Linked DNA regions of Arabidopsis thaliana. The protein of the gene in region 1 interacts with the protein of each later gene in a pairwise test. Each region holds a gene or a part of one and is shown on either strand. Other genes may lie near its edges. The genes, in order: HB30 and NAC020.

Region 1 (4,440 bases):
AACCACTCAATTCAATAACATCTGCTGTTTTGTTTCCCTCTAGTCTTTGTCTGGATTTTGATGAAGGGCTTTGTTTGGATTCAACAAATCAAGTTTTATTCGGAAATAGATGTTAATCAAGTCTGAGTTTCTCTCATATGTGTTACGCAAAACAGACAAGTAACAGTCTGAGATAATGTTTTCCCGGCCCGTTATAAACTCATCGAATAATGGGCCAACATTCTAAGCCTCAGGCTCTGGCCCGTCAACGCGGCTAGATCCGTTCATTGAATCAGAAACATATTTATCCTATCGGGTTTAAAATTTCAATTAAAATTTCAAACATAAATTTCTCTCATATTATCATATATGGACGAACCAGCTTTGTTTTTGGCATAATGTGAAATCAAGAGCCAACTTGTTTTAGCCATTAAAGTTTCCTCAAATACTTCTCAAGTTGCCATGCACATCAATATTTAGTTTTTGAATTATTATTTTCTTGTAATTTTACACATTCCTATTCAAAAACAATACAATTAAAATAAAATCATTTCGTTTATAACACAAAAAAAGGAAGAAGAAGATGTCATTGTTTTTTTCTTTATTCACAAATCTTAAGAACAGTCCATATTAATGCATACTAACCACCCATGCGATACATTCATCGTATATGATAAATCCTTCCAATTGCATTTGCACACATACATAAAGTAGGATATGTGTATATATAAAACATATACAGGCATAACATATAATAGATTTTAGAAAGAAAGAAAAAATCACAGATAGATCATCAAATAATTGCGTCAGATAATATATCCTGAAAAAAAAAAACTAATTAATATTATCCTTGTTATGGGCATAAAGCTTATTTAATGTCGGTTTGCCTTATTCTTCCTAACTAAAGAGTAAAAAGCCTTATAACTATTTCTAAAACAATAATATATGTGTTATATTATTTTGTTGTCTATGAAATCTATAGATAATCGTAGTGCGGTAACAATAAGACCAATCAACAATCAAGTTATATCTAAATGCTTGAAATGTTGATACGGTGGTTCCCTATTTTGGCTATGGTAAGTCGTGCAAGTCGTAATATATACCTACATTAATTAAAGTATAATGTTAAAGTTCAATGTATTTGAGAAGAAGAGAATTGTCTTCCATAACAGACGAACATGGTTTGATTAGGTAGCGCCATGTTGCAAGATATGTACGCGTGTTAGCTGTTTTTGGTATTTAGACAATTTCATATCATCATTAGTCAAAAGAAAGAAAAAGTTTTAAGAGTTGAGATTTACAATTACGTTACTACTATAAGAAAACAGACGACATTTTAGAAACCCGTTAAAATTCAAAATTTTGACGGAGAATTCAACCGTTGGATTTAGAGCATCAAAATTAAAACTTCCATAAAATTTGTCTGAATTTTTTGATAAAATTTATCGGTCATATTTTAGCAAATCTCCTAAAAAAATTGGTATACTATCAATTATTTATGGAGTTTTTGCTTTGAATTGTTAGTTTATCACTTATTATTAGTAATGGATTTGCAAACGATCTTAGGTTTGGTCTACACCTCTCTGATTAAAGACTTTTTTATACAGCTTTAAAGAAGTTTGGAGTAAACGGCATCGTTCTTCACCACTGCTCGTGTCAGCTTTTTTAGTTGTGGTCTCCTTTTCTTAAGGCCACTTTAACCGTCAACATGTATAGTCAATAAACATTTTTGAGTTAATTAGTGGAGTAGTTGAGAAGTAAATAAATTAAGCTAGTCATAGTTTTTTTTGCAAAAATTTGGTAGTAGAGTAACTTTTAAGATTGTAAGTTGATAGTTTTTTCGACATAAGATTGAAGACAAACCATGAACTATAAAACTAGGGAAGGTCGAGATTTTAACATTTTTGGATAAACATTGCTTTTGATCAACAATACGAAATATTAACTTTTGTCTTTAGTTAACATCATTGAATCAACAACCCGAATCAACCTTAATTATATTCATGCTTTACTTCCACACGAAATTTTCAGCTTAAATAAGGAGAAAAAAAAATAAAAAAAAATAACGAGAAATAATAATAATTGAAATTTGAAAGGTAGCAAAAAAGATTAATATTGATATAAAATTGGAGTATATATTATTAAAGTTGTCAACGTCATGGAGATACAAATTTAGCAAAAAGAAAAAGACATGACTCACATTAGATGCTGTTCTATGAACTCTATTTATTAGCCTATATTTATTACACTTATCTTTTTTCATTAACCCTAGATGGGGTCAACAAACCATGGTTAAAAAAAAATATTCAACCAAAAAAAAAAAAACACATAATGATTATGAATCTCAACCACACAACTTGGATTTCTCATTATCAACAGTCTTCAACTTCTCATCTCTTTCTTCCTCCATGAGAGACTTGAGTAAATAATACATAGTTTTAAATTTCCCCTTTTCTAATCTTATCTCTCCCAAATACATAAACCCATCCCAAAGATTTCGAGTTTACAATTTAAAAACAGTTTTGTTTAGTGCAATCTTTACCTTATCTTTACTTCTATCATCTATTCTTCTTCTTCCTCCATCTCTAGAAAATTATAATACTTCTTGTTTCTTAAATCTTATTTGTATTACAATAACCAAAACCCAAGTTTACAAAACATTTCTTCTTCTTGTTTTTCGAAACCCTAAATGTTTTGAGTTGTCATGGATGTAATAGCTACTACAACTACTATAGTATCCGACTTGGATTCACGACAACCCGAAATCGAAGCTCCGATCCGGATCCAGCCCGCGAAGCCTATTTCTTTCTCAAACGGCAAACGCTGCCACCACCATCATCTTGCATCTGAAGCGGTTGCGGTTGCGACTTATAAAGAATGTCTAAAGAATCACGCAGCAGGTATCGGCGGTCACGCTTTAGACGGATGCGGCGAGTTTATGCCGTCACCGTCGTTTAACTCCAATGACCCCGCTTCACTAACGTGCGCTGCTTGTGGTTGCCACCGTAACTTCCACCGCCGTGAGGAGGATCCATCTTCTCTCTCTGCCATCGTCCCTGCGATCGAATTTCGACCTCACAACCGTCACCAGCTTCCTCCACCGCCTCCTCCTCATCTGGCGGGGATTCGTAGTCCAGACGACGATGATTCAGCTTCTCCACCGCCGATCTCGTCTTCTTACATGCTTCTCGCACTCTCTGGAGGAAGAGGAGGAGCTAACACGGCGGTTCCAATGTCTAGGAAACGTTTTAGGACGAAGTTTAGTCAGTATCAGAAGGAGAAGATGTTCGAGTTCTCGGAGAGAGTTGGGTGGAGGATGCCGAAAGCTGATGACGTGGTGGTTAAGGAGTTTTGTCGGGAGATTGGAGTTGATAAAAGCGTTTTCAAAGTGTGGATGCATAACAACAAGATTTCAGGACGCAGCGGCGCTAGAAGAGCTAACGGCGGAGTAGTAGTAGGAGGAGTAGGAGATAGTCGTCAGAGTGTTGTTCCGACAAATGGGTCGTTTTCTTCGACGTGAGGAAAAGAATGGAAAGCGTTGAAAAAGCGTCGTCGTTTTAGAGGCTAATTCTTTTTTGGTTTTTCTTCTCTGTGTTTTGAAGATTTTTTATTTTTAGTCAACGGGTCAAAATCTTTTTTCTATTCCACTTTGTTTTGTTATGTCTTGTAGTTTGTACTCTTGTTAGTAGTTTATCTTTGTTAGAGAGGTGATTTGAGTTGTATCTTTCGACCAAATGTGAGAAGAAAGATAAATGAGTAACCTCCTAAAACCGAATAACAAAGTCAATTAATCCAATTGTTTTCTAAATTCTATATCAGTTTGCTTTTTTATTTTTACTTTTTTTCTTTATATAGAAATTTATGAAAGAAATGAGGGAATTTGTTGCAATTATGTGACATTACTAGATTTTTAACCCGCGGTATACCGCAAGGACAATTTTTTTTTTTTTAAGTTAGTATATATAAAAGTTTACAAATTGTATCTATCTATAAAATATTTTTATTTTATAGTTTACAATTGTTATTAAGTAAAAAAAACTATTTATTTTATTAATGTTGATCTTATTTATGATATGTTTATAAATCATTGTCTAAATATTTTGTAATTTTGTAATAATTAACTGCTATAAAATATCTATGTGGGTTGATGCGTATAATGGAATTGTTATAGTCATGCAAAAAAAGCAATATCAAAAATGATAATTTTGTAATTTTTAAATGATGTTAAATATTTTAGAAGTTTTATTTTAGTAACTAATCGTGTAGTTATTGTAGAGAGATTTTGAGAAGATAGTTAAATGTCAAATATTTAATTCGAAAATTTACTTTCTAATTATCAAAAATAATTATTAAATGCCAGTGACAACCACTGTAAATAAGTCTCAACTTGAAGATTTATTTCATATAGTGGCTGCAAAAATGTATATGTAGATAACTCAAAAACATGAAAACACAGTTACT
Region 2 (3,907 bases), on another chromosome or scaffold:
CATTTAATAATGTCACTATTGTGTTACGTCTAATTAATTAATGTTTATTTGATACTCTAGATATCAATACTATAAGCTTGAGAAAGAGTATAGGTACTTGATACATGTGAAATGGAAATATAAAAGGGTTGATAAGATAAGATGCTTAGATCTTAATTAGCTTTATTCGCTTCCCCTTAGATCGTATCAAAGGTTGCATGTCTTTAGTTAGGCTTGCATGTTAGCTTCCTCGTTGTCTTTATTAATTAATTAATCCACATTCCTTTTGCATTTGTGATACAACATTTATATATATAGTCACATTTTTTTTTATATATAGTACTCACATTAATTACTTGTTCATATAGACTTAGACTCGATTTGTGACCAAGAAAAACAAAGTGGTGAAACAATTGGGGCATGTCTTGTTGTTGTCGTTTGATAAGTTAAACTGTTAAAGCATCTTTCGCCAAAATATTTTTCAGTTGCTATCTTTTGTTTTTTGTATCTGTCACTCTCTCTCTCTCTCCCTAAGTTATTGGTGACCACATCTTAAAGCTTCCCTAAAATGTTATTGTTATTTCTTTCTCACGGAAAAGGGAGAGTTACTTACTTGAAGTTTGAATATTATACTTTATAAGAATGGAGGAGTTTTATATATGTCGCAACTTGTGGACTCCCTCAGTATTTGATCATTTCCTTACATAAAACGTTTGATTACTTCATTCTGTTAAATTCCGTTTACAATGTTCTTCGTCTACATGTGAATTATATATATTAGCAAACGAAAAAAAACCATGTAAACGAGACATCTAATATATGACATGAGTTATATATATCATACATGTGAAGAATGAAGATGTCCTTATTTTTTTAATTTATCTTTTGGATCGAGGCCGAGAGTCGAGGCAAAAGAGATTTGACCGGAAGTTAGTAAAATTGAAGGGCCGAGAGAAAGAGAGTCAAAGATTGTGTGGGAGTAATGATGTAAAAGAGCCGAACAACGTCTTTAATCCATATGTAAAAGGGACTAAAGAAGCCTCCCAACACTAAAGCCAAAGTCGACTTGGATGCCTCCTGCTTTTTTATTCTCCCATTTTTTAATCATATATATGAATTCAATTTATAAGTATTCTTATTATAAGACCATAACAACATAAAACAATATAACAAAACTGTCAAACCGAAAAAAAAAGAAAAGAAAAAGCCGAGTGTTTAGGTGTCGCCAGGTAGATTTGGTTTGAGAAGAAGAGATGGGTCCCCTAAACTGTTGAATCATAAAAAGCCTTCATTTTTGGTTTAAAGCAAACGTTATAAAAATCCCTCTATAATGATTCATGACCCACGTTAAGGTCTAACCGGAATTATAAGCATATACATTCATATATGTGAGTATTTGTGAGATGGGGCCTTCTTGCTAAAGCTTTTTCCGTCTCTCCTCCTACTAGGGTTTTCACACTTGCAGAATCTTCAAAAGCCAGAGTTAGGTTTTTATTTAAAATATATATATTGGTTTTAGAAAATATGTGTGATGAGTATCATGACAAACACTGACCAAAAAGCAACCCAAAGTAAGACAAAATATTAATCTCAGAAGATGCCAATCCCATGGCATACTTTTACACATTCCCATATCATATCTTCTTCAGAGTCTCATCTTTTTAATTATATATAGTCACCTTCATATGTCGTACGAACATCCTAATCACTTTAATTAATCTCTCTCATCTCTTTCTCTCTCGTTTTCTAACGCATACACTTTGAATGGCGCCCATGAGTTTGCCTCCAGGATTCAGGTTTCATCCCACTGATGAAGAACTGGTGGCTTACTATCTTGATAGGAAGGTCAACGGCCAAGCCATTGAGCTCGAGATCATCCCAGAAGTTGATCTTTATAAATGCGAGCCATGGGACTTGCCTGGTACGATCCAACTCTTTATATCTCTCTCTATATATGGTTCAGCTTGTTTATGTCAATCTGACGTTATAGATTACATATATTGGTCATGATGCATTCATACATATGATATTGGAGGTTTTATGAGTTATTTATTTGGATAATACGCGGAACAGAAAAGTCATTTTTGCCGGGAAACGACATGGAATGGTACTTTTACAGCACAAGGGATAAGAAGTATCCAAATGGCTCTAGGACGAACCGTGCGACCCGAGCGGGTTACTGGAAGGCCACGGGGAAAGATCGTACAGTAGAATCAAAGAAGATGAAGATGGGAATGAAGAAGACACTGGTTTATTATAGAGGAAGGGCTCCTCATGGCCTTCGTACTAATTGGGTCATGCATGAATATCGTCTCACGCACGCTCCTTCCTCCTCCTTGAAGGTAAATTATTTCCCATGCACAAACTTCTATTAACATATATATCTATATTCATTTCTGATCTAATTTTTTTTTTTTTGATAAACCATATCGACTAATATTAATGTTGATCTAAAACAGGAGTCGTATGCATTGTGCCGAGTGTTTAAGAAGAACATACAAATTCCAAAGAGAAAAGGGGAAGAAGAAGAAGCAGAAGAAGAGAGCACTAGTGTAGGAAAAGAAGAGGAAGAAGAAAAGGAGAAGAAGTGGAGAAAATGTGATGGTAATTATATTGAAGACGAGAGCTTGAAAAGAGCATCCGCGGAGACATCTTCATCAGAGCTAACTCAAGGGGTCCTTTTAGACGAAGCAAACAGCTCATCCATATTTGCTCTTCATTTCTCATCTTCTCTTCTGGACGATCATGATCATCTTTTCTCAAACTATTCTCATCAGCTTCCATATCATCCTCCTCTTCAACTCCAAGATTTCCCTCAACTTTCTATGAACGAAGCAGAGATTATGTCAATCCAACAAGACTTTCAATGCAGAGACTCTATGAACGGGACACTTGACGAAATCTTCTCTTCTTCCGCCACTTTCCCCGCTTCCCTTTGATAAATCCATATCTCATACTATCATCTAGTACTTCTTTTCTCAACTTATTTAAATATACTCGGGTACTTCATATATAGTATTTTTTTTTTTACTTGTTTTTTGCTTATGAATTAGTTTGACTGGTGAAAAAGGGTGAGGAGGTTTGTGGAATTATTTTTTCTACCACAAAAAGAAATTGCATTATTTTATTTTAATTTTTATCATTAGGTGTGTATGGTACTTAATCACTAGAGTTGGTTGGTTTTGTCATATATAGGAGGGAAAACGGAAGTAAAAATTGTGTAATCGATCGACATTACTTATTGGTTTGCATACTTGTAGACTTAAAATCTGGCATGGGCGTCATGGCAACGCAAATTTGGAAAACTTTTCGGATTATATATGTCCGACTGCGGATCAATATCTTATTTAACTATATATATGTGTTATGAATATGAAACAAAAGTTTTAAAATCTGAATGAATAAAGAAAAAATTCTCAAGAAAAGAAGCTGAAAACAAAGAAGAGAGAAAAATCGAGACAAATTTCACTACAAACAAAATAAATTCTTTATTAAAAAAGATGAGAATTACAAGACAATGATTAAAGACATCTCGAGTTTATGATACTATATATAGTTTGTGATTGATTTGGAAGATACAAACAACATTATCATGAAGAAATCTCTAGTTTATGATACTTTTAATTTAATTTAACCAAGTGATAGTGGTCTAATAGTTTTCACTTGAAGACGAATCATCGTTTTTGTCTAGGTCATACATTGATCTCTCTCAAATGCAAGATTATTTAATCATTCTTATTATACTATCCCTAAAACAATCTTACTATAAATGAATCTTTAAAATATATATATATATATATATATATATATTGCAGTTTCAAATCCAAACATATAATAAGATAATAATTTGTTCGTTTGAAATTCAACATGATCGTATATGCATAAACTTGCAATAAAACATACTAAACTTTTTAAATTTTGTATTCAT

What was found.
Region 2: the proteins of HB30 (region 1) and NAC020 interact in a two-hybrid assay, tested with the Arabidopsis thaliana proteins (one study listed by BioGRID).

The regions. Positions count from the first base shown.
Region 1 is NC_003076.8:4,936,933-4,941,372, reverse strand, and holds HB30 (homeobox protein 30), read left to right. Parts: upstream 1-2,165; 5' UTR 2,166-2,683; coding exon 2,684-3,499; 3' UTR 3,500-3,908; downstream 3,909-4,440. UniProt on the Arabidopsis thaliana protein: Putative transcription factor.
Region 2 is NC_003070.9:20,278,726-20,282,632, reverse strand, and holds NAC020 (NAC domain containing protein 20), read left to right. Parts: upstream 1-1,680; 5' UTR 1,681-1,743; coding exon 1,744-1,900; intron 1,901-2,052; coding exon 2,053-2,321; intron 2,322-2,438; coding exon 2,439-2,918; 3' UTR 2,919-3,126; downstream 3,127-3,907.